Linked DNA regions of Lepisosteus oculatus. The protein of the gene in region 2 purifies or fractionates together with the protein of the main gene of each other region. This does not show direct contact. Links are inferred from orthologs where the notes say so. Each region holds a gene or a part of one and is shown on either strand. Other genes may lie near its edges.

Evidence for each region.
Region 1: the proteins of mapk6 (region 2) and eci2 purify together in Homo sapiens (affinity purification with mass spectrometry; 3 studies listed by BioGRID and IntAct, with this or other methods). This does not show direct contact. The link is inferred for Lepisosteus oculatus from reciprocal best matches to the Homo sapiens genes MAPK6 and ECI2.

The regions. Positions count from the first base shown.
Region 1 is NC_090701.1:15,724,979-15,737,251, forward strand, and holds the start of eci2 (enoyl-CoA delta isomerase 2), read right to left. Parts: upstream 6,088-12,273; 5' UTR 6,033-6,087; coding exon 5,980-6,032; intron 5,108-5,979; coding exon 4,945-5,107; intron 3,418-4,944; coding exon 3,319-3,417; intron 2,198-3,318; coding exon 2,012-2,197; intron 342-2,011; coding exon 272-341; intron 1-271. Other genes in the region: lipid transferase CIDEA, read left to right, coding at 10,294-10,346. UniProt on the Homo sapiens protein: Able to isomerize both 3-cis and 3-trans double bonds into the 2-trans form in a range of enoyl-CoA species. Has a preference for 3-trans substrates.
Region 2 is NC_090700.1:44,644,989-44,657,591, forward strand, and holds the start of mapk6 (mitogen-activated protein kinase 6), read left to right. Parts: upstream 1-6,700; 5' UTR 6,701-6,946; intron 6,947-11,775; exon of another isoform or gene 11,776-11,876; intron 11,877-12,603. UniProt on the Homo sapiens protein: Atypical MAPK protein. Phosphorylates microtubule-associated protein 2 (MAP2) and MAPKAPK5.

The DNA.
Region 1 (12,273 bases), on a different chromosome or scaffold from region 2:
TGTAAAACTTTCTAAAACTTATTAACAGTTTCTATAGATCATTACATGTTAAGAGTTTTATCTGTTGTACATCATTAAGGCATAGCGGATCTTATACCAACTCAGCATGTGAATTATAGGGAGCTGGATCTTGTCAATAATACTGGATATACTCCCTACCACAGAATGAGCAGTGAAGCAACACAGTGAGCTGGGAAATGATCCTCACTGACTGAATGAATGTTCTTGGCTGCAACACACCAAGATCAAAAGGTGAGGACAAGAATGGTACCTGTCAGTACAGTTATGACACAGTCATTATTAGCTGCCAGCTCCAGGGCTTGCTTAATTTCATTGTACATCTGCAATAAAGAAGGAAAGGGCCATTGGACACAAGTTCAAGGACCAATGAAACTGATCAAACAGGTATAAAGAGATGGTATGCTCATACAGGTTGACATGTCCTAAAGCAAACAGTCACTGAAAGAGATGCCAATCTAGCGAAACAAAACAATACACGGGGGAAGAAAGTTTAACTCTTAGCAGTGCAGTAAAGTTGTGAATATATCACAGAAAGTGCAAAATTTAATATAAACCTAACCTTGTTCATAGTTGCGACAACCTTCATTGTGACTGATTTTTTTTACTCCTGTTGTAAAGTAATGTGAAAAAATAAACAGAAAAGTGACCGTCACTTTCATACAGAGTGATTGGTATGCCTCCTCTATCCGATTAGGGATTATCCTTGTTAAATACAGAAAGGAGGACCCAAAGGAACACAGCCCAGGAGTTGGTTATTGTAGGTATAGAGAAAATTAAATGCTATGCAGCTAGTAGTATTAAAAGTTTCCATTACTGCTACTGTACTTGCAAGGGTGACTGAAAGAGATTATAGACATTTTACAAATAATGGCAAGGTTGTTCAATTTCATAAATGAGCCTTTACTGCTCTCCAGCAAGTGTAAATTATGCATTATTAGCTGCAACTCTTCACAGCTCGGGAAACTTGAAGACAGAGGTGCACAAATTATTTATATTTATGACTGCTTGAAAATGACGACTTTGCAAAGAAGTGACATCTTCCATCTAAAAAATCATGAATATTACAGCATTAATAATAAGGTATTTGTCTTCAGCCATATCAAAAGGGCTGCAAGGTATCATTTACATCACCCACACACAAGTTACAAGTATTTTTATTCTGACATTTTGATTTGGGATTCATTTAATTTTACATCTGATTTAAATGTACCTTGTTATAAACAGACTAATTCAATTACAAACAGAATAATAGCTATACAAGCCACCCCAATAATAGAAATATATGATAAAAAATTACCTTCTGTAGGTCCAACGTACCCAAAAATGTTTTAGAACATATGCTTTATAAAGTTTAATAAAATATCTCTGTGTTTTGAAAACCACACATATTCAATACATGAACGCTCTTTGATTTAATATGAATATCAGGCTTGGATGAAAATATACTACGCATGAGATCCAAGATCATATGTCACCTGTATTTGCTATGATAAGCCTGCAAGTCTGATTTCAGTAATGGGGAACATGGACAAAACTTTGAAGGCTGGACTTGTAGCTTTTACAACTTCTCAATATCTCTCTGCTTATCAAATGAAAAGTATATTACTATCATATTTATAATATGGACAGTATAATAAAGTTTAAATGCCTGAAAAATGTCCTCTTCAGTCATATTTCTTACCTAAATGCTTGCAGCAGCTCTAAGTGTGTATAAGGTGCTGTACGTCAGTGTGTAAGGTGTATGTTTCTCATGTGCCCCACGTCTCCCTGTTCTCCAAAGTAGAAAAGTTTGTTAAGTTGCTATTTATTGGGCGGGGGGGGGCAGCTTGCTTCTACATTACCACTATACATGAGGGGAGATTTACCTGTGTAGGACTGTCAAACGGTACGAGTCGCAATGTTCTCAGCTTAAGACCCTCTGTGGCCCCCATAACCTTGGTATTAACTTAACATTAACCACATCTGGTTTTCCTGTTCAACTCTGCCTTACCAAGACAGTAATGGCGTTCTTCTTCTCTGGTCTGTTCATGACAATGGTGGTGATGTTGTCCTCCGTGGTCACAAGCAGTGTCTCAAACGTAGCCTGGCCCCCCGTGGATGACGTTTTTGGCTGCGCCGGTGTTTCTGCAGCCACCAGGGACTCTACAAGGTCTACGTACTTCTGCCTGGCCTCCTCCTAGTACCAGCAAGGGTTAAACAGCTAGTTCATTTTCACGGTCTTTACTGAACAGTAAAAATAATACCAGTCCAGCTTCGCTTGGTAATCAAAGAACTGAAAATATTGTGTAATACAGTTCCCAGTTAAATCGGAAACCACAAGAAGAAACACTGCCAGCAACGCATTGTAATATGTCAGGATTCTGGCTCCGCTGTTCCACCCAGGATCAATGCAACAGTTAGATCCTGCAAAAGTGTTTAAATCAGGAAACTTAGACGCTGCATTTAAAGTGAGTCATGAAGTATCAAAATATTAATAACAACTTGAATTTGCATAGTGCCTTTCATTTTAGAGGACCCCACTGCACATATAGGTGGGGATTCAGTTTATCCACAACAGAAGGGCAACACACATCCACATTGAGAAATAATTTCATTAAATAAATTAAGGGGGAAAAATAGGGAGGGCAGCAAATTTTTTAGTAGGAGGATAAACTTACTTGACTCAGGTGCAGCACAGTATATAGCAAGTCTATAGAATGATGGTTTCCCTCGGTTTATCTGTCTGACTGCATATGCTAAAGTAATTCCCTTCTCCTCTGTAAGGGACCAGAAATAATGTCTGGAATAAGACTGGAGTGATTGTATATATATAGCCTCTGGATACGTGGTAGTGCCATGGCTGTTCTGAATCCTGATTTACACTGCATGATTTTGAACATTCTTATATTATGTACTCAAACCACAGCTTATGATTTGCAACTCACAGAAATTTCTTTAATTGTTTTAAAAAGTAAGGCCCTCATGTGGCACGTTTACAGCAAACGAATGTTACGTTATTGAAAAACTTGATTTAACCAAGTCTGTGTGTTTTGATGAAGACTTTTTATATGCCTACAGGATCTACAAAACTGTTTGGAGTACAGAGACCCTGCATCCCGCATGTGAAGAAATGCAAGACAAAGCAGGAGGAAAAGTAGTCTTCATTTCTCTAGATGTCCCCTCACCCACATCTTCTGCAGAATCTAGTGCTTCCTTTTTGCCCCCTTCTTATATTTCTCTCATTCTTGCAATATGAAAAAGAAATCTGATTATTTATAAAGCCTAAAGAACAGTAAATGATAATAGTTTGGTACTCACCGGTGATAGACTGTCAAGAGACTTCCAGGCATCCCACTTGGCCTTGTTGACGAAGTCCAGCATGCTTGGCTTTGGAATATTGCAGGGACCCTGCATGGCCTAGACATATAGAACAAGCAACACAATCATTTAGCCATTCGGCTCTCAAAGAGATAGCATGTCTTTTTCCATTTAAAACAACTGAGAAGAGCAAGCAGTGCTACAACAGAAGATTAAGGCATCAAAACAAGACCTGACTCAGGTGACCCAACCCAACAAGGCCTTAGGCGTGTAGAAACCCACAAGAGTTCTCGCTGCACAGCAGGATAATGAACTCCTGACCATCTACAAGGCCCACTCAGATGGCGATCAGTGTGACAGGACTAATGACATGGCTCAAATACAAACCTGACTTCTAGATTATGGGACCCAAATGCATGGTAAGCATAGATCTTTACTAGTTCAGCTACTCAGAATATCCACTTTAGAGAGTGAAACCTCGGTAGTAGAGTCGCACTACTTGTGCAGTTCTTTTTGTGCTGTACTGAAACAGAAAGCCGTGGTGATGCCAATCCAAGCATCTACAATTCTGTAATGGATCTAGATGACCCCATTCTTGTGTTATATATGGAAATGGAATAATATCAAAATTATCCACAAAGACATTAGTTCTATCGAAAGTAAAGTCAGTAAATATACGTCTACAGTATGTGCAATACAAAGGAAAACCACAAGTATTGGAAATTCATGTGTTGCACTAGTGTAGATTTAGACTTTGAACGAAGAATGATATTCTTGCAAAGCAACAAAAAAAGAGAAAAACATATTAGCCTTTAATCCAGAAATAAGTACATGTGTTACTTATTTTCCATAATATATGCACCAATTATGATAAATATGAAAATGTATTAAGCAGAGTAGTAGTAGAGCAATTTATTGCCATATGTACACACACATTGGAATTCTTAACCGTGCTGATCTCTTGGGACACACGGTACAACAGACAACACCACACGATGCAGACAGTACCTAATTAATAACAACAGGAACAATAAGTATGTTGTGGGACAATAAATATGTAGTAGTGAGAAAAAAAATGGTAGACCATGCAAAAAGTGTGTAGTGCAGATGTGTAATGAGTTTGAATGGAAGCATGGTACTGTAACGCATACGGCCACCAGTGAGTGTGTAAGAGCCGGCTTACCAGAGCGGTGACATCACCGCCCTTCCCTGTGATAGCAGGGCCCACAGCCGCTGGGCTGGGGAGAGATCTCTCTTTAGCTCAACGGGCTGGGTCCCTGTTGAGTGACGCCGGAGGCCCGGGTTCGAGTCCCCGACGGTGGGGGGCCAACCTGATGCGGCAACAGCGAGGGAGCCCACGTGAACCCCGAATCGTTACAGAACATTGTCCAAGTTGTGTTTTTGTTGGCTCAAGTGCCAAACAGAGGACAGGCGAGCCCCACTGGTACTGTAGCTTCACTCTGCTCAGACACCTGGACTCGAGTATGGAAAACAATACTCACAAGCCTGATCCAGCTCTGCCCTATGTGAGTGGTTTTCAGTCAGTCTTGGTCTGCTGCTAGTGTGCTCCCTCCTGCTACAAATGACAAGCCCTTTAAAAACACCACTATGAGGTGCGAGTATCACCTGTTTAAAAAGTGCATATATTTTCAATTTGACTTCATTGCCAGGGTCCTTTTTCAGTTTGCTGAGCTTGTCCTTGGCGTGATTAAAGTCCTCGACAGTTGCCCCCATTAAGGCCCCAGTTGTATGAAGCTGAAGTGCTGGTAAGCGAAAGGACTGAAACAGTCTGAGGAAGAAAAGAAAGACAGTATTTAGAAAGTATTTAAAACATTTTGAATATTCTAATAAATATTTATAGAGATGCAGTACACTGCACTGTGTTGGCAAACCAATCATGGCTGTTAAAAAATAAAAAATATATTTGAAATGCATGTGGAATAATAGGGAGTTTCAACAGTGTAGACCCTACAGGCTGTTACAAACATAAACCTCACCTTTATTTCACCAGTCCTCTCAGGCCTACATATGTTGTAGGAAGAATCATTTTAGTTGTTTCTTAGACGATCTAAAAGAATCAGCTTTAACAGGGGTGGCCGGATGGTAGTTCAACAGATACACAACCTTGTTCCTCTTAGGTGTGCCTAAATTTCTCACTCTTAATTTCCACATTTAGTCCCCAGTCTCCATAGCATTATGATTGAATCGGTAACTTCAGCTGACATTTCAAAGCCTGACAAATCTACTAATTCGAGTAAATCACCGTTTCCAGACAAGGAAATATATGTACACGTCTTTGAACTCCTCCAGATTTTTCCTTTTTGAAAAGCGAAAACAATCATAGAAGAGATTGTTTACTTTTCAAAAGCTATGTCTTCGAGACTGATACTATGTTTGACATAAGAAAGCCATCGCGGTCTCTGAAAACGTTACTAGTTAATGAGTCAAACAAACAGAAAACTAACGATTTGCTTGCTTTAGAAATGTTGTAATAAAAACATAACCAAGCAAACTTGGATCTCGTACAATCAACCCGTGCAGCATGTCAACCTTCATTGCAGCTGCTAACATTACAGCAAAACCAGCAAATAAACCTCCAAAACCTACACAAACCGCGGCTGGACAAATATTCCACAATTATAATTCACTCTTTAAACTCACCTCGCAGATTTCATGAAACGCCAGCTATAAAGCAGAGACACGGCTGCAGCCATACTATTGTCGAGGTCAGTGGGATAAAGTTCACCGGCAATCTAACAACCCAGAGTCTTACCCCCTTTCTGTTCAACCCCTCCCTTCATTTCGTACAAGTCAAAGCTCAATTTAGTGGCTCCCTCTGCTGGTCGGAGCACGTAGTCCTTTTTACAGTGCAAATACAGTCTACACCTTGTGACTAAGCGTGGTTAGCATCTGCACATTATAAGCATTCACAACTTCATGTTGAAGTTAGGAGCTCATGGTTAGTATTCTAGTATTCAGGATTAGTATTCTACATGCAGATGTTGGAGTCCCTGAACACCAATCAACACCTGTTCTTCAATATTACAAATGTTTGAGTGTCTCTTGTAAGTGTTATGTCTCTGCATTAATTTTTTCATTGTCTTTCACCTTAGCTGGCACAATATGACAATGTTTTATTCAAAGCGAACATTACACTATTATGAAGAAAAATGGCCCTTCATGTTTCCAATCCTTCTTGTTTGCAATCTTCTTGTTACACCTGTGTGGTTCTGTCTATTTACACCAATTTTAATGCAAAACATCAGCCATGCCTCAACACAAATAAAAACAAGAAAAGTCTCTATGAGGTACAAAGAATCAGATGTGTTCTTTTTGTCTGACAGCAAACCAAGAGCTAGAAGTTTATTTATTACTTTAATATAAATAAACTATAATATAAAAGAAAAACAAAAATACATTTGAGACATTGGATCATTTGTTTTTAAATCACTTTAAGGTTCTACAATAAAAGGCCCATTAAACCAGACACAGACATGCAATGGCTAAGGCAAGTAGGCCTGTTGTTAATTACAAATCTTGTTTTCCTCATAGGTTTCCACATCCCTAAGAACATACAAATGTTTCTATTTGGTTATTTTCCCCATTTGGTTACTAGTAGCTTTTCAATTCAAGAATCTAGATAGCAGCAGTTGTAATAAAATTGCATGTTTGGTGATCACTTATTCAAATCAGAAGGAGCAGCAGGTTAAAAATAAATTCCTGTTGGTCTCCACATAATATTCTCCAGTAGCCTTACATGAAATTAATGTGTGAAGGAGGTTTAAGATGGAGACCCATTTAAAACTAAACAGCAAACTAAACTGAGACAATAAAGAAAACTGCTGCTCATTAAAGATCGCAAGGCACTATTCCAAAAGAGTAGGGATTTTAACCCTGGTGACCTTGTTAAATACCACTCTTGACTTGTAAAATCTGGCCTACCTAATGTTTCCCCTTAACTCTATTGATGAAGCCATTTGTCACTTCTCTACCTTGACTGCTCTGTAGTGAGACTGGTGGCTGCCACATGTTACCCAGGTGTCCTCATCTGCATGTAAAGTGATTTGGGACCTTTGAGTTGAACAATGCTATACAAAATGAAAACTATTGTAAAGATATTTCACTTTAATGTTATCTTTCTTCTCAACCATTGATTGCAATTGACAGATTGGTACTTACTGTCACTGTAATTCCTATTTTAATGCTTTTCTACAAATCATTTATTGAAAGTGTTTTAACATACTGTCTTACCTTTTTGTGTGGCAACATCAGTACTGCAAATTGAAATAGGTGGTTAAAAACAGGTTTGGAAAAATATTCGTGAAGATTAGTACTAAATTCATTAGGGCAAATCAAATCAATGTAAATGCCCATTTTGGAGCGTGTGCCACATCCCCTCCACTGTGAATTTACACTACTCCCATCTGGGAGACACCTTGGTGCCCATAGGAGTAACAACAAAAAGCACTAGAAATAGTTCATCCCTTAAGCAATCATGTTCTCAAACAATGTAAAGTAACTCTCTTATCTTCTGAAACACTGTTGTCCTGAACTCTTTGTTGGTGATGTCTTGTTTTTGTTGTATTGTTCTGTTGGACTCTGCCAAAGTACAAACTTCCCTCAGGGGACAATAAAGCTTGAAATGAATCAAATTACGTTTTCAATACCATCCTGTCTTCTGTACCAGATGGACAGGTATGCTAATTTTGCAAAGTAGGGTGGATTTTGGCACTGCTCCAACCTGTTTTGTTGTTGCCAAGAAAGTTGCATAACCTCTTTGCTGACAGTGGGGGAAAAAAACAGCAGCACAAGATTTACTCACAAATAAGTAGAATTAAGGAAGCTAACAATACATAAGCCTCTTACATGGAAGTAACTCACACACTAGATTCCTACAAAACTACATCTGAAGTATACATTAAGTCACCGAGCATAAGTCCTGTGTAAACTCAGGAATTCTTAAAAAATGCTATTGTGTTTCGCTTTTCTCTGAGTTATTTCTTGTGGCATATAATCCTCATAAATGTAAAGGTCAAATAATATGTAACTGACAGTTATATATGCACATTTAGACTGTTTGCAGCATGATTAAATTGCTGCTGCTGTTTTCATCTAATTTCTATCATCCATGCATTTCTAATAAACTGCATAATGGGTGGAGCAGTGGCTCTGTACATAAGTATCTGTGCCTGTGGCTGGAAGGCTGCAGGTTCAAATCCCGTGGCTGGCAGAGGAATCCTACTCTGTTGGGCTCCTGAGCAAGGCCCTTAACCCCAACTGCTCCAGGGGTGCTGTACAATGGCTGCCCTTGTGCTCTGACTCCAAGCTTCTCTCCCTGTCTGTGTGTCTCATGGAGAGCAAGCTGGGGTATAAGAAAAAAAAGATGAATTCCTAATGCAAGAAATTGTATATGGCTGACAAAGTGATCTCTTATCCAATACTGGGTTGCACTGTCTCAGAGCCCAGTCTGGCAGACAATGATTACAAGGCAGGATACACCCTGGAAGGAATGTCAGTCCATCACAGGATGTTTTAATTAGTTACATCAAGATAACCAGCATGCACTAGGCCATTACATCGTTGAATCTCAAGTATCACTGCTTCATTTCCATGGATACCAGGACTTCACATATTTCCTCTAACACCACAGATAAATTAATGCTGGGGACAACAAAACAAAGCAGCACGTGCTCTTGTTAACTTTATTGTCGTAACTGTGACCTTGAGATTATTCTAGTGCTTCCAACAGAAATCAAAAAGCTAGAAAAGTGCTTCAGAAACGTATATCTATGGTGGAAGGCAGTGTCCATTTCAAAATGAAATGCTCAGATGTTCTGCGGCACCTGTTTCAGACAGCAAAATACTTTAAAGACTTAAAGACTGTGGAGACTTGACTGTCATACACAGGCTCAAATTTATATTTTATTGTTTCTTAGCCTAATGTTGTTCAATACAATGCACACTGTTTTATGCAATATACATTATAATGTACAATATAATGCAAAGCAGCTGTTTCTTAATCCAGTATTTTACAATATAATGGAGAGCAGCATATGCATTTCTTGGTTATAAATTTATCCAATACTGAAAAATTACTAAATCTATTTTGCCACAAGGTTCAAGTAGTCATCACTAAGCTCATGTGCTACAGGGGTTTTCAAAGACCTGTTCACTTTCAAACATTCGTTCTGGTAGCCATTTTAAGAGTAATTTAAGAAGACATTACAGGAGGTAGAGACTTTACAACACATACACTTATAAAAATGTATAAAGCAATTTGATTAGATCATCTCGCCCACTTCAGAAGGATCAAAACACTCGAAATGACTGGGACACTTGACAAGTTCAGTTTTTCCATTTAGAAGCCATTCAGTATCAGTTACTCAAAATCTCTTAAAGTTTTATTTTACTATAACACTACTAACAGCTCATCTGTACAGAAATATAGCGTTATAGCGCTAAATAGAATTCGTATGCCATTAAAATCAGTATGTATTTCAAGTTTTTTTCCCTCAATCTCAGAAAAGGGGATGTACTGTACCTTAGTATTGACTTATCGGGTTGCATATTCATTTGGCAGAACAGGCAACAGCACTCAGTTTTAAAATCGAATGTGCGTAAAATCGGAGATAGACTGGAGGACACAAACAGGTATGTAGATAACTGGTAGGCAATCGCTTATGTGCCTTGGATTCCCAGTTCCAAAAAAAGAAAAATAATACAAGAAAACGTCCCCCTTCCCCTCCTTTCCTCGTCATAGCCTTCTGCAGGTAAGAACCAATCAGATGACCGTAATGGCATCAAAACACAAAAGCATCCCCCCCAATACCCCCGAAAATATATTGTGCGACTGTGGCATCTGTTTATCAAGTAACCAAGTGACACTGTCTGTGAGTGGAGAAGATCTGACCTCTTGCTGAGCGGAGAAAGGTTACTGTAGTGACCGCACTGACCACTTGCTCGGACCGGCGAGCCATGGAGTACGCTAAGGAATACGCCAGCGCTTTGTCGCCGCGGACTCTCATAAGGCGAGTATTTTTTTGTTCAGAATGGTGCCATTTTATGCAGCACAAATTTGTTGCGTCAATACCTCTGTTGTTAAAAGAAATGCATTTAATGCACCTACGTAACATTTCACACATTATTAAATAATAATACCCGAAACATGTCGGCGAAAGAAAAAAAACATCAATACCATAGTTTTGAAATGATTTCAATGTTTCGGCGAATCAGGCAACATTCTAACATTTTTAATCTAAAAAAATAAGACTGGAGGATTTCATATTTACACGAAAATCTTCCGTATCTTTTACTTAAGACCCTATATTTAACGCTGCTGATTAAAAAAAATGTCGAGAACACACCGCATTCCATTTAATTTAATTGATCAAGGCTCCTTCTCTGTAGCCGGCTTTATCAAGACAATACAATTAACTAAATTATCTTTAGGACCTCTGGCTGATTTGTATAAATATAACGCACTTGGATACTTAATATTTGTTTACAGTGTTTAATAGTTGTGCAGCCGGATCTAATTGTTTACTTTGAATGTTTCTTCATGCACTTGTACTGTTTTTACATTTGTTAGTCATAAATGAAACACATTATTCACAGTGTTTATCATGGAAAGTTACTCCCCATACCCATCTCGTCTGTTCACGCTGTGTTGTGAGACCCCGAAAAGTGTCCCCCAAGGAAGACGAGCCTTATATTCGTGTGCATAAAGGGCTAGGCTAAGTCATAAACAATGCTGGCGCTCTTGACAGATCAATAACTAGTAACACAGAACTCTAATCTGAGTATTATGTAAAGTGGATTCCCACACCAGACTCAGGGTTTATTTTGAGGTTTGGTCTTTGAAATTGCAATTATTGGTGACATTCTTTTCATTTACCATGTGAACGTTCCGTTTTTGATTAAATATGATAATGAATTTGATTAAAGTGATAATCACAGGTAAAAAAACATGCTATGGGACTTTTTTGTCCACATGCAAATAAAGCCACGACTTTTCATTAGTAATTTTTGCTCTGTTTGCATTTGTGCTACATGTACAGAAACTGGTAGTGACGTTGTACGGTTTCCATCTTGTGCACATGACACTCCTAGAGGTCTTTAATACAGGAATGCGATGGCTAACAGGAAGCTGCACGTACACGTATTCAATATAAAGCTCCAAATGATGAAAACTGGTAAGATGTTTGCATGCTCATACGAAGTTCACTAAAACCAGTTAAATTTAGGATGACCTTAGTTCATCCAAAAACTTCATCTTGGTTTCAAACCTATTAACTACAGCTAAACCTATTAGTTAGCTACAGCCCTACCCTTGTCTGTTGTAAAACCTTACTTTAGCTCCCATGTTAAGTCAGAGATGTAAAATTAGCATTAAATCCACCTCTAGGGCTGCAGAATGAGCAAGAACATAATTTAAAGAACAGACTAGATTTATCATGGAGAATAGAGGCTGTTCGCCTGTGTTTATTATCATACACTTCAACCTTGGTGATGTCTTTCTTGAGGGCTTGTTATATTTACTGTATTTGCTCATATGCATCAGAAGCATAGGTTTTGCGCCAACCCTAAACTAGTTCCATCCCTTTTCCCACCTATCTTTTAGCCATGCTGAGAGATCCTTTTACAAGCTGGGCTTTGTGATTGTGGTTGTCTTGTTATGCACCACGCCCAGGTAACCAAGCACATTTAAGTGCGATACAGAAATTGGCAGGGCGCTTCAAATTAAACATTACTATCCATTTTCACAACATTCTGTAATTTTTTGTAGAGTAGGGGTCCCAAGCCTGCTTTGCTAAGCCCACACATCTGCTGGCTTTTGGTCCAGCTCCAAGTCTGTTACACCATTAAAACCTTAGCTGAAATTAATCCCATGATTAAGTCAATTATGTGATTGTCTTTATCTCTTAAACATGTCGGAGGTTGTCTTTTAACTATTGT
Region 2 (12,603 bases):
GAACTCCTGGGAGTGACAGGTAATACATTACTGAAGCAGGTGGCGCAATACCCATGTTCCACTCTGTGTATGAACAGAGTTGCAGAACATTTAAGATGATATTTTAAAACTAGTTCTTAATCTCATCTGTCCCCTTCAGAACAAGGGCCTTTCTTCATGTCTCCTTTTTAAAATGAAGGAAAAGAAAAGAAAGACAGTGGCACTTCTTTTGACTTGGTAAATAAAGGATGCATTTTTTGAGTTCCTATTAACCTGAAAGTTTGAAAGAACTTGCATCACAGTTCAGGAACTCTGTTATTGATTTTTCCTATTAATTTACTTAGTATGAATGACCACAACAACAAGGAATTGCAGAACATTGTATAAAGTATCAAAACCATATGTGTATCATATATGGAAAATACAAAACATTACATAAAAAGTATGTTTCTATCCCTATTTTCATTACAGTCATATTTTCTTTACACACTCTATACAGTATGTGGAAAACAATAGCTATAAACGTTTTGCATTTGTTTTGCAAGATAACTGAACAATTATTTAATCCATCTAGTGACAAATGTTTTGCATTGTGTGTCCGTCTAAATCAAGATACTGGATTATTTGTCGCTGCAGGATGGAACACATTGATCTTTGTTTAATAGTGAAAAGCACCGAAAAACTGAGGTGACTTTGGAACTCAGGGTAAGCCTGAATAAACCCTCCATTGCAGGTCTGACACCATCCGGGAAACCAACATTTGCAGCAAAAGGAGAAAGAATACAGCTGTACAAACATTTGATAGTAAGTATTATAGACCTTTGACACCGAAGTTAAGTCATGTTGCTGAAGAATATGCAATTTGTAATGTTTTGCTGAACTATATTGTAAGTTAATAAAAACAACTAGCAGAATGCACAGATGTTGAAAAAGTCAGTTATAAAACAAAATAATAAACTTCAGCTGTGATTTGTAAGAAGTTAGGCCAGACAAAATATGTAAAGTTAGGGTAGTGGATTGCTTACAATCCCCAAAGGAAAGTGTGGAAAAGCAGAGAAATAAGCAGAGCAAAGTGTGGATCTTAAAATGCAAATATATGTTATGACAGCTAGGAGCTTGACACAAGATGCTAAATTATTGTCTAAACCTTTATGCCATTGAATTACTTCTGTTTAAAGTTTATCTAACACAACGCTGGCTTTTTAGATTGCTATGCACAAGTAACCATTTTAGTATAAAAACTGTTGATTTTCTGTGACTTTGTGTATAACTCTTTGGCATATGAGAAATATTAACCTTTCTGCATAGGAAGCTGTCCTGAAAAGGGGACTGTGCATAATAAAAAAATACAAGTTCAGCAAGGATCTGCCAATAGATTGTTGGTCAGACCAACACACAGTATTACAGGAAATGTGACCTTCTGCCTACACATTGACTCCAAGCACTGTGAACTGAATTCTTTAAAGAGAAGGTGAGGTTGACGGTAATTGACTAGATATGGGCAGATGATATACTGTACATTCTGAAGACAATGAGGGTTACATTGTTTTTCCAGTACATACAGCACATGTCCTAGTGTTCAACTGATTGCAAGATGAAAATACTAAGAGTACCAAGACATGGTATACCCAGGATGTGCTGTACTGGGCTAAGGTACTTCTGAGGGCATTTACACAACAATCACAGCTTTTTTCTAACACACCCTGTGAAAGATTGTATAAAAAGAAAGAACTGCTCTGCCTGCATCCTACTTTTGTCACTCATGTTTAGCAAGAGCAGGCGGAACATTCATCTTATCTTTGACAGTGAAAGAAGTCTGATAAAGGACAAGGGATTAGCCAGAGAGTACAAGAGGCTATTAAGAAAATGTGGGTTCACAAGTTGAAGGTCAGTGAAATGAAATATGATGTGCAGGACTCATTAAGCACTGCAGCGATAATAAAAGACTGGTTATTATGTAACTACTCCAGAAATGGCTGAAGTTTCACTCACTTGAAGGCTATTGTTGTCACATTAATAACTGGGTATTTGGTGACATGTTTGTGGTTTAGATCATAACAAAATCCTTTATTTAATGTAGATTGAGCAATTAAAAGTGTTTGCTGCTCTCACAAAAGAGACCATAAAATTCTAAAACATGATGGTTCTTACAAGTGAATATTATTTTTACATTTTACTCTTCACCGAGTTTACTGTAATATACAGCAATTTTAGTTATTTCAGTGATTTTTAGTGATACAACATGCAGAATAAAATATGGACTGTCTTATTAAAAACATGAAAATATATACTGTCTTATTGTTAAAATAAACACCAAAATAAGCCCAAATAAACACCACAGACCTGAAAGATAAATTTTGCTTTCAAAAACAGAAAAATATTTTCTTTTACAACTTCAGAGTATTTGAAAACAGAGCAGAGGTTAATAGGCCAGTAAAATAATTTTACTATCTTGGTGCATTTATGTGACATTAGTACTTCAGTAAAGTGACAGTTCACTGGAAAAACAAAGGTTTATGTGGAAGTGGAAGTTTCCATATTAACGTTTATTATCTTTTATGGCAATCCTAGAAATAAAATCTCTAGCCTCAAATGTTTTTATTTTTTAAAATTGAACTTCCAAAGCTAAATTGTAATTTGCATATTATTTATATTCTTTTAAGAAAGGAATACCTCTTGATGTCAAGATTAAATCAATTGTCCTGATAACTTTGTCTTTGGAATTTAAATTATTTTATCCTATTTTACATGCTGAATTTGTTAGTTAAATATTTCTTCAGGCTCTTGCATAACACATTAAATGTATAAACGTGCAAAGCAGTGAAATTTGTGACAAAGAAAAATGCTTAATGATTTACAGTTATCTGACATATCATTTTCTTTTCTTAGATGAGTCTCGAATTGAACGACATCTCAGAAAACATTAAGCAAAGATTGTTTGTGTACAGTGGGGGCAAACAACTGATATTTTTGTAAGCAATTTATTGTTCCTACAGTATTTCCAACAGCACATTGAATCAGCGGATTTCCACAGTCAGTTCAGTGTTGGATAATTACTGCTTTGCACTTACTTTCTCACATCTAAAATGTCTCATTGCTATAGGATGTCCCCTGTGCTATCTGCAATAAACACTGAATTCAGGCTCTACATCCGAGTGAGAAGCTTTTAACCAAACAAATGTTTGTACCATAACAATCTTGTACTGTGGACTGTTATGAAATTTAATTACCCTAAACCAATCAATTAACAAGTCCCCTGTGGTACAGTATCCTTATCCTGTAACTCAAACCAAATTATTGTAATGCACTACATCTACGAATAGAAAATTGCATTACTGTAAGCTCAATTCAACTCCCAACCTCTCTTAAAAAAGTGAATTTGAACTCTTTTGGTTGGGAAAGATACATTAAGATTTGACAAACTTGTTTTCAAGGATGTCCTGGAGTCGCACAAAAAGAACAAAGTAATATAATTTCTTTGAATTATATTAAACATAGTGAAACATCAGCACCCAATACCGATCTGAAAATCTCACCTAAGCAAAAAATACAAATCTTTTTTTCCAGTTCTGCAAGATTACTGCAAGGATGAGACTTGCTGTGTCTTCCTATTTAAGAAGGTTTTATGTGTGAGTGTGCAACTATTTTGGGTGCTGATCTCTCACACTGCGCACTGCTATTTCAATGTTTCAGAATCCATAACAGGTTTCAGGAAATGGACTGGGTATCCACAACCCCCTTTGAGAAGGCAGATGATCATGACCTTGATGTGTGGAAAACATGCGGGCTGCCTAGATTCTGAACTGAAGCTCATCCCGATAAAACCAGGAATTCCTCTGTGCTTGCCCCTGGATCTGTTACTGAAAGATCCTTTCTTGTATTTTTAAATGAAGATGCATCCTAATTTCAAAACAAGTACACTGCTTTTTCATTCCTCAAAATATCATGTGTGTGTTGGGGGAAGGGCATATACTAAAGGGATTATTTAACAGTTAATAAAAAAATAAAACACTTCAGTTTAACTGCCCCCATAACACTCATTGTGACATTTTATGAACTTTATACTTAACAACTGTCACATAACTTGTACACTTAATTGCATTTAGAATTGATTTTTTATTGTGATAGTCTGAAATCAGATTTTTAAAGCAACATAATCCCTACAAGTCTGCCAGAATTCACAATCACAGAACAGCAAAAACTACCCAGCTCTGAGGTCATGTATATTTCAAGTCAGGGTGGTGATTGAGTGCATTGTTTGAAATAATGGAAGTAGTGTATGTATGTTAAGCATCTAGGCTTGCCACAACCAGTTGAATGTCATTTGCTGTTTCTGTTGTCCCAGACATGCCAATCTAGATTCTGAATTTGACTCGGATTGAGAATGGTTGGAAAACTCTATCCTAGGAATTCATTTTCACAGAGCCTAGTGTCTGTCTGAACAGTTGACAGATTAAATCATAGTGCTAGATCCGCAGTTCTCTATTTTTGTGCTCATGTAGTGAGTGCATTACATTCGAAAGTATATTTTCTAACATCCATCCAGCCTACACTTTCAAACCACTGCTTCCAGTACAGGATCACGGGGAGCAGGAGCCTGTCCTGGCATGCATCGGGCGTAAGGCAGCATACTGTACACCCCGGACAAGATGCCGTTCCATCGCAGAGCACACACAGACACACACAGTCACACCAGGGCCAGTTTTTCAAGAAGCCAATTAACCTACTATCATGTCCTTCAGCTGTGGGAGGAAACATACAAACTCATCAAAGGTAGTAACCGAGATCTGGAATTTAGCTCAGGGCCCTAGTGCTGTGATACAGCAATGCTAACCACTGTGCCACCATGTGTTTTCTTACATATTTAGGAGAATTGTTTTGTGTTTTTGTGCTGTTTTACTGTTATTTGCTTGATCTTTTGTTTTGGTCTCATTTTTGAAAGGGTAGAACCATTTGACCTTTCCTTTTGAAAATACAACTAAACCTTACTGCCTGACAGGGAAGATCAGGAAAGACCGAAAGAGCCTGAATTTACAGCATTACAAGTATGACCTGAAGAAAATGCATTATGATCATACTGTAGGTAATAAATGGACAAAGATAGATTTTCCTGTAAGTTCTTCAGTTAACTGTTTAATGTTCGTTTTGTTTAAAGGAGTGTAATATTCTGCAGAAACCCAAGGAACAAAATAGCATTATGATCCACCTGCAGGAGAAGAAGAAAGAGGGAACGTAATAAAATAATAATAATAATAATAATAATAGCCTCCCATCAGTAATTGAAATTAAATTATTATAATAGCAGTGAGTTAAAGTGGGCATCGCAGAAGGGTAAGGGAAAGCTAAATTTATATCTGAAGGGTCTGTATCCTCTTCAGACCCACGTGAAGTGTTTGTCTAATGGTTCTTACTAAGGCAGTTGATTACAACATTATTTTAATAGAAAAGAAGGAAAGAAGCAATGATAATCAGAAGCCAACAACAGAGCTAGAAAGGAACATGACCTATTCAACTACTTTAAGAAGATTATAAACAGTTCTGTAAAAAAATCTTACATTCAGGCTCAAGGATTGGCAGTAATGACTGTTTTAAGAATACAATCCCACAGATTTAAAGGAACAGAAATGTATTTTCTTTAATGAGTGCAGCGGAGTGAGTCATCTTGAGTCCCGTGCTTTTCCACCTGTGTTTTGTAATTGACTGCATATACAGTATATGTGCTAACAGAGTACTGAACAAAATTAATGAGCAGTTTATTTGTTTTTTATCGCTGTCTCATTATATAGAAATAGCTGTCTTTACTGTATATCTACAGCACTTTATATATAGCTTTCTCTATTTTTACTGAAACATTCAAATTCAGGGGAGGACAGGAATGCTCTACTTTGGTAGGCTGGATCTTTATGGTCTTAGATGGAAAAGACTACGAAGGGACCTGATTCAAGTACTCCAAATCCAAAGGTTTCAACAAGCTCAGCCTCATGGATCTGGCAGAATCAGCAAAGAGTCAGAAATCGAAATACACAACGTGAACTACTGTACGCGGAAGTGCATTTAAAACTGAGAACAGGGGGCACTTTATGCAAAGGGTAGTGCCTTCTTTTAAGATGTGGGTGGGTGAGATCCTTGCATCAATTTAGCTGCTAAAGAGCAAATGAGCTAGATGGGCTGAATGCTCGTTTGTGAACTTTCTTGTGTTCTGGATAAAAGTTACAATGGAGATGGCCCAGCTTCAGCCTATGAAATACATTGCAAACAGGAGGTAGCCATGAAATGGTTACTATATGCAGTCTACCAGAACCAATTGCAAACCTCGTTGTCTTACCCAGCCAATTGAAGAAGGTTTAAATACAACATTAAGGACCAGGTGAAAACCTGACTATACAGTTAATCTTGAGATCCCAGTAGCTGGGGCAGAAGGGTTGGAACAGGAACCCCTCTATCGGCCCGCAGCCCCCACTGACGTTTGTTCTCTGAGACGCAGGGTTCCAGAAGTGACAGCAGGGCTTTCTTCCAGCTCCCTGTTCCCACAGCACCCATTTGTCTGCAAGCCCCTGATTTGCAGCTGAAGGAGATCAGCTCATGAGCTCAACGTTCACAATTGCAGAGGCGCAGCAAAAGAGAGGCAGAGCAAAAAGAGGAGAGAGGGAGGGAGGAAGGCTGTGAGAGGTGTTGACACTCCTCTGCAATGGGGCTGGAGCTGGAGCTTGCAAGCCAAACCATACACAGAGCAGTCTCCTCCCCTTCTCCCATTCTATATTAATTCCCTGTGGAACTACTACAGGAACAGCTGTACATGATACTCAGAGCGCAACATCACAAACTCCAGATATCCCTGGCTCAGTCTCTGCTGCATCGTACCTTTTCTGCAGTGGACTATCATTCTGGAATACTTATTCTTCTTCAGCACAAAGGGATTATTAAGATGCAAACATGATTCAGAAGCTATCTGAGAATTTTCATGATGGTAAGTGCCAGAAGATTTTAATCTGTCCTGCTGAAGTACAGGTCTGTAGTTGCTGAAGTGACTTTTAATGCAGTGATTTCTCTTTTCTCTTCCTCTGTTAACATCAAATCTAGATATATTTAAAATGTGCTGAGAGATGGCAATTATTCTTTGATTGTCAAGTAAGCTATGAAAATATTTTCATCTTAAAAATTAACAGACCTATTTATATTTCTTCTTTACTGCGGTTTAAATTGTAACACAACAATTTCCTCATATATATTTAAATATTCATACATTTCCTTTGAAATTTGCTCTTCATAAAAGTATGGTAAAAGTTTTGATTTTGATATAGGGTTTAAAAATGCTTAAAATGTTTATCAGATTAAAGTTTTTTTTTTGCGTTGCAGATACATTGTTTTAATTTATTGTAGTAAGTTTTCATTTCATGTATTGTATTTCCCAAACCCAGATTGCATGTTTAATAAAGGGAATAACAGGGAATTCATAAAGCATTAGCACACTGCTCTGAAAGGCAGTGGGCTCAGTATAACAACTCATATGCAAAGCATTAACCTCCAGGGTTTTTTTCAATGAAACATAGCCTTTTCATAGAAACCTCTACATGCAGCTAAAGAAAACTTCAGCTTGCACAGCTATGGACTAAACATAAGCTTCATGTGATGAAATGTATTTAAAATCTACATAAATTTTAAGTTGTGCATAATTTATTTTCTTTTAATAAACATTTGCTGTTAATTTGTGACATATTTAGAAAACAGGAAAACTTTTTTTCACCATGTTCTCACTTTATGGAGCTCTCTCACCACTGTAGTATGTGGGACATTCCAATAGGGTTTAATGTTTTGGTTACTTAGTCTTTGCAGGGTTCACATGAGTCCACTGAGATTAAATAGCCTGGCAGGTATAATTCTGGACTCCTTCAAAAAGGCTGTGTAAGCAATCAGGATAGATCTGCCTTTTGTTTTGCATAAGAAACTGGAATTTATGTAGCAGCTCTCATCCCAAGGAAGCACTTTCTAGTGCAGAATTATATCTATCAGAAAAAGGAATATAAATTAATAAAACAAGCTAAGGTTTTAGAAGAATGTTTCTATTTGAGATCTCTATCACTCTGTTTTGCAAAAGAGCAAAGGAGTGAACATTCCATTTTATTGGTGAAAATGTTAACGCCTTAACATTTTCTCTTCTAAAACTGATGTGATCTGCACTTTGGAATATACTGTACAGTGGGCTTCAAATAACCTAGCCCATTAAGTTTTCACTGTATCACTTGTTCACTGGTTTGAATGGACAGTGGCTGTTTTTAGAAGGCATTCGCACCATTATAGAACACTGATGGGAAACAAAATCACAAATGTGATAATAGTGAAACATTAAATAAACAAGGTGCATTGCTTGACTAAAAAGTTTTGAAGGGTTATTTTCATATTTTAATTGAGGACACAGGGGGAATTCTCCTGTCCAACCTTCTGTGCACAAAAGAAAGAATGTACTGTGTACTGATGGAACACATTGGTGCTAAAGGCTAAAGGTTTTTTTTATGATGAGGGGAGGAGAGTATTTTAATTATTTTACCTGTTGTGAATAATGAACTTGATTCAGATAGGGAAACATTATGCAAGGTTTTATAGATAAAAACAATCTCACAGCTGTTAATGATCAGCATGTAGCCTATACGAATACTTGTTGTGCTACTTGTTGTGCTAGTAAATTCTATTTTATGAGAAAAAAACAATGTTTAATATTTTAGAATAGGAATATATGAAAGATAAACTTCTAATATAATTTGAAGTCTATTGTACATTCTAGGTGGTATTGACAGCCAAGAAGAAAAAGTAAAAAATCATAGCAACAGGGTGATTAAAATGCAATATAATAACCTTGTCTGATCCCACACAAACTCCAGGTGACCTATTTAGAAAATATCACTGTAGAGTTATACAAACTATGGTGTTTTAGGAACAGCTCTGCCAGGAAACTAATGCACAGAACTCTTTCAAGGCAAAATAGTAATCAACTAAAAAATCCTGCATATTCCACATGCAATCAGATCTAACATTCTGGACTTAATTCACCTTTTCTCTGAATTATTTAAACAAAGTATTGGACCCTGCAGTTGCCAATGTGTAATTAAATCCTGAAAGAGAATCGAGGATTGTTTCACTGGTCCTGCTGTCATGCTCTTCTCAGACAATGTTTGTTTCAGCCAGCTCTTATGCAATTATCTTGATGCCCCTAAATTGTGTTAACAGTGGACAATTCAGAGGTATACTGTACAGTATATGATAATTACGTTTTAAATTCACTGTGAGATAAAAACATGGATTAGAATTTCATGAATTAACCATGTATAATGTTTTTTTTTAAGAAAGTAACATATAATGGTAATTAAAATGTATAATTTTGCACAATCGTTAAAGGTCTTCATATTACATTTGTCCAATACATGGCTGATTATATTGAGGAAAGTAAACTTCCAATTATAAACCTGGAGCACCTGGACCACTTAGCTCATTACACGTGCAGGCCAGGGGTTTTACCGAAATACTCACACTCACTAAAGATATAATATTTGTTATGTCCTGCACGAGAGACCGAAGCACCACATTTTCTGTCATTTCCTTGGGTAAACTTTTGAATAGTTCAAATGTGCTTGAAAGCGCAGCTGGCAGCTTTCTGCCAACCCGGACATCTGATATGAACAAAGCATTGAGAAGGCCTAAAATGTTAATGAGCTTTGCAGGACACACTATCTACTTCGCGAAGTCAACGTGTTATTAGATACAATGAACTGCTTATGGACAGCCGGTTCTGGAACATTAACTTCAGCAGCAGCAGTACTACGTTCAAATAATAAATTGGGTAAGGTGTTCAAGAAAATAGAGAAATATATTTTGTATTTTTAAATAGTATTTCAAGTTTAGCAGTGACAACACCTAAAAAGAAGACAGAAAACGATATGTACAGAGTGACAGAATCACAGCAGCCCACTTTCCGAACTATCCAGACAAAAGAGGCTAGAAAACGCGGTGAACTTCTCGGCGTCAGTAGGGAGGGTCATTCTGCTCAGTGGTAACGCAATGCTTTCGGGTGACCTCAAGTTCCTTCAAGTCAAGTTCATTTTTAAAGACATCGTACAAAGCTTGGAGTCTGATTTTATTTTAATTAATTTAAGCAACTGCGTACTTGCGGACAATGTGTCCCGCTGAATGTTTTATAGTTCCGTTATGCCGCCAAGAGTGAGCTGATACTAAAAAAAGCGAAATTCAGCAGGGCACTTAAATTCAAGCCTCAGGTCACATGTTAATAAACATGTCGGGTAAATTTAGTCAATAGTCTGCGCAGTAACCGTTCTGGATATGTCTAGGGGCATATTTCCCACTTATCCATGAAGACGATTTACAGTTCGATACGGTTGCCACTGTATAGAAAAAAAAAGCAAACGCACTTAAAACGTTGTTTTTGGTATTAATATTCTTATGATAAAAAAACAATTCGAATACAATTTATTCAAGGTATTTGCATCCTCTGTGATGTTAAACGGTGAACAGAAGGATTTTTGACCATTAAAACCCCCTATAGCTGGACCACCTCTACAGCAGAAAACCTTATTCTCCTCTTGTCGCATAAACCTCCACCACACCTCCTCCACGGGTATGGCCACAGTTCTGTGCCGCATTCTCCAGCACATGGTTTCTCACATGGCCCGGACCGTGCTGATGCACTGCGAAGCTACAGCTCACACATTCATGCAAAGCTAGAGTCCCTGCTGCTCATTCATCAACTGGGAGATGAGCTCTGAATTCAGATGCTTTCTCGCTCCTGAGGTTACATCATCATTTCCTTTCGGATTCAACAAGTTTGTTCTGGCTGCTAAACGGAGAATCAGTATCATTTAAAAATAGCTGTAGTGCTAAAAGGTTTTTTAGACTGAAAGGAATATAAAACTATTCTTTGATTTTACATCTGCCACTGCACAGATGGGCGTTATTGTGAAACTGACACAAACATTGGCAATAAATACAGCATATCTACATGACACATGTAGGAGTATCTTTCAATGAGATACTAATCTGAAATGCTAATCTGAACGAGTTACTTTGTCCTCTAACTGTATATATACTTATTGCTGCAAAAACCCAATCCCGTAGGATTTAAGAATGAAGGAGCTGTTCACATCCAAACCATATCAAGGACATCTAGGGTGGTTCGCTGTGACAAGCATTAAAACAACGCACCAGAAATAAACAGTGAACCTGTATGTTTTTTTTTATTTCTTTAACAGAACCGAAGAACACACCACATTAAAACATCCTTTTTTAACTATGTGTATTTCAGCGGCTCTTTCAGCACCGAACTTCTCTGTAAAAAAACAAGGTAGCCGCTATTCTGTTTAAATGGGAATGCAGAGGATTACAGTTCGAAAGGCTGGCCGAATCACGTATATCTAGTAGTTGGTTTCTTGTATTCAATTACTGCTACTTTAAGTAGGTGACTGGGTTTTCCGAGAAATTGGAAAAAGGGATTTGACGAAACGCTACCATTCTCCTTCAATATTTACATTCAATTATTACTCGTTAGACATTGATTGTAACACTGCGAGGTGTCCGTGAAACGACGTCAGCTTGTGAAGGGCTTCGAAATTAAAAATGATTTATGTAAAGACAGGTGGACCGATTTTTAGTAGATATATGAATGTTTTCTGAAATGAAAACATTGATGAATAAAAACTGCGGCAGCCTTAGGTCTCTTTTTTAAATTTTGCCGCCACCTTCATCGCCCCCCTTCGGTGAGCCTCGCTGACGCAGCTTCTCCTCTTACATTAGCCTGAATGGCGATTGCAGCAGACTCGAAGGGTCGAGGGAGCGCAGTGCATATCCAGCTAATTACTACCACGAAAAACTTGTAAATGAGGCGGATACGAACAGTAAGTGAAATAATGTGATTCTTTATATCATCCCGACAGCACTGTCTTTTGTGTGTTCTGTCCGGCGACCTTAAAAGCCGCGTTATTTTCGGCTGTTGTACGCGACTGCAATGCCGGTCGGCTCTCCCCGGCTGCTGCCTTTCTTTGTGCTGTCACGACTCGTCGTGAGAGGCTTCGTGTCGTGCTCGCAACCGGCCCCTTTTGTTGCCATTTCTCGTCCGATTTCTGAATAAGTAAGTGCGGGAAGGACGCTGCCTGCACGAAGCTGAAGTGCTAAGGTCGATAATGTAACAGCGCAGATCTCTCCCAGCTGTGTTGAGCTTTTTGTGCGTTAATGTGTCCGTCTGCCCTCGGCGATCGCCGGGCGGTTCGGCTGCCGCCGCCTCGGCTTCCTCCTCAGCTCCCGGCGTCGAGCTGCTTTTGTGAGGACACGGTCGGCTTCGTCCGCTCTACAACGGCGCCTTTCCCTTCCTCTTTCCAAAGAAGAGGGTGAAATGATTGATTGTTTATTGAGATCTTTTTGGTGTGGTTATTCTGAATTAAATCCGTGTATTTTGAAACCCAACTCATTATAGAGGCATTGTGCACTCGAGGCTGTTACGTGGACGAGCATGTTTTCTCCCCGCTAAGTGTTGTAAAATGCTCTTGCTTGTTTTTTTTTAAAAAGTGTTATTTTTATGTTGAGTTTTAAAATATGGTACATATTTTTAAAATGTGGTAGTTAAGG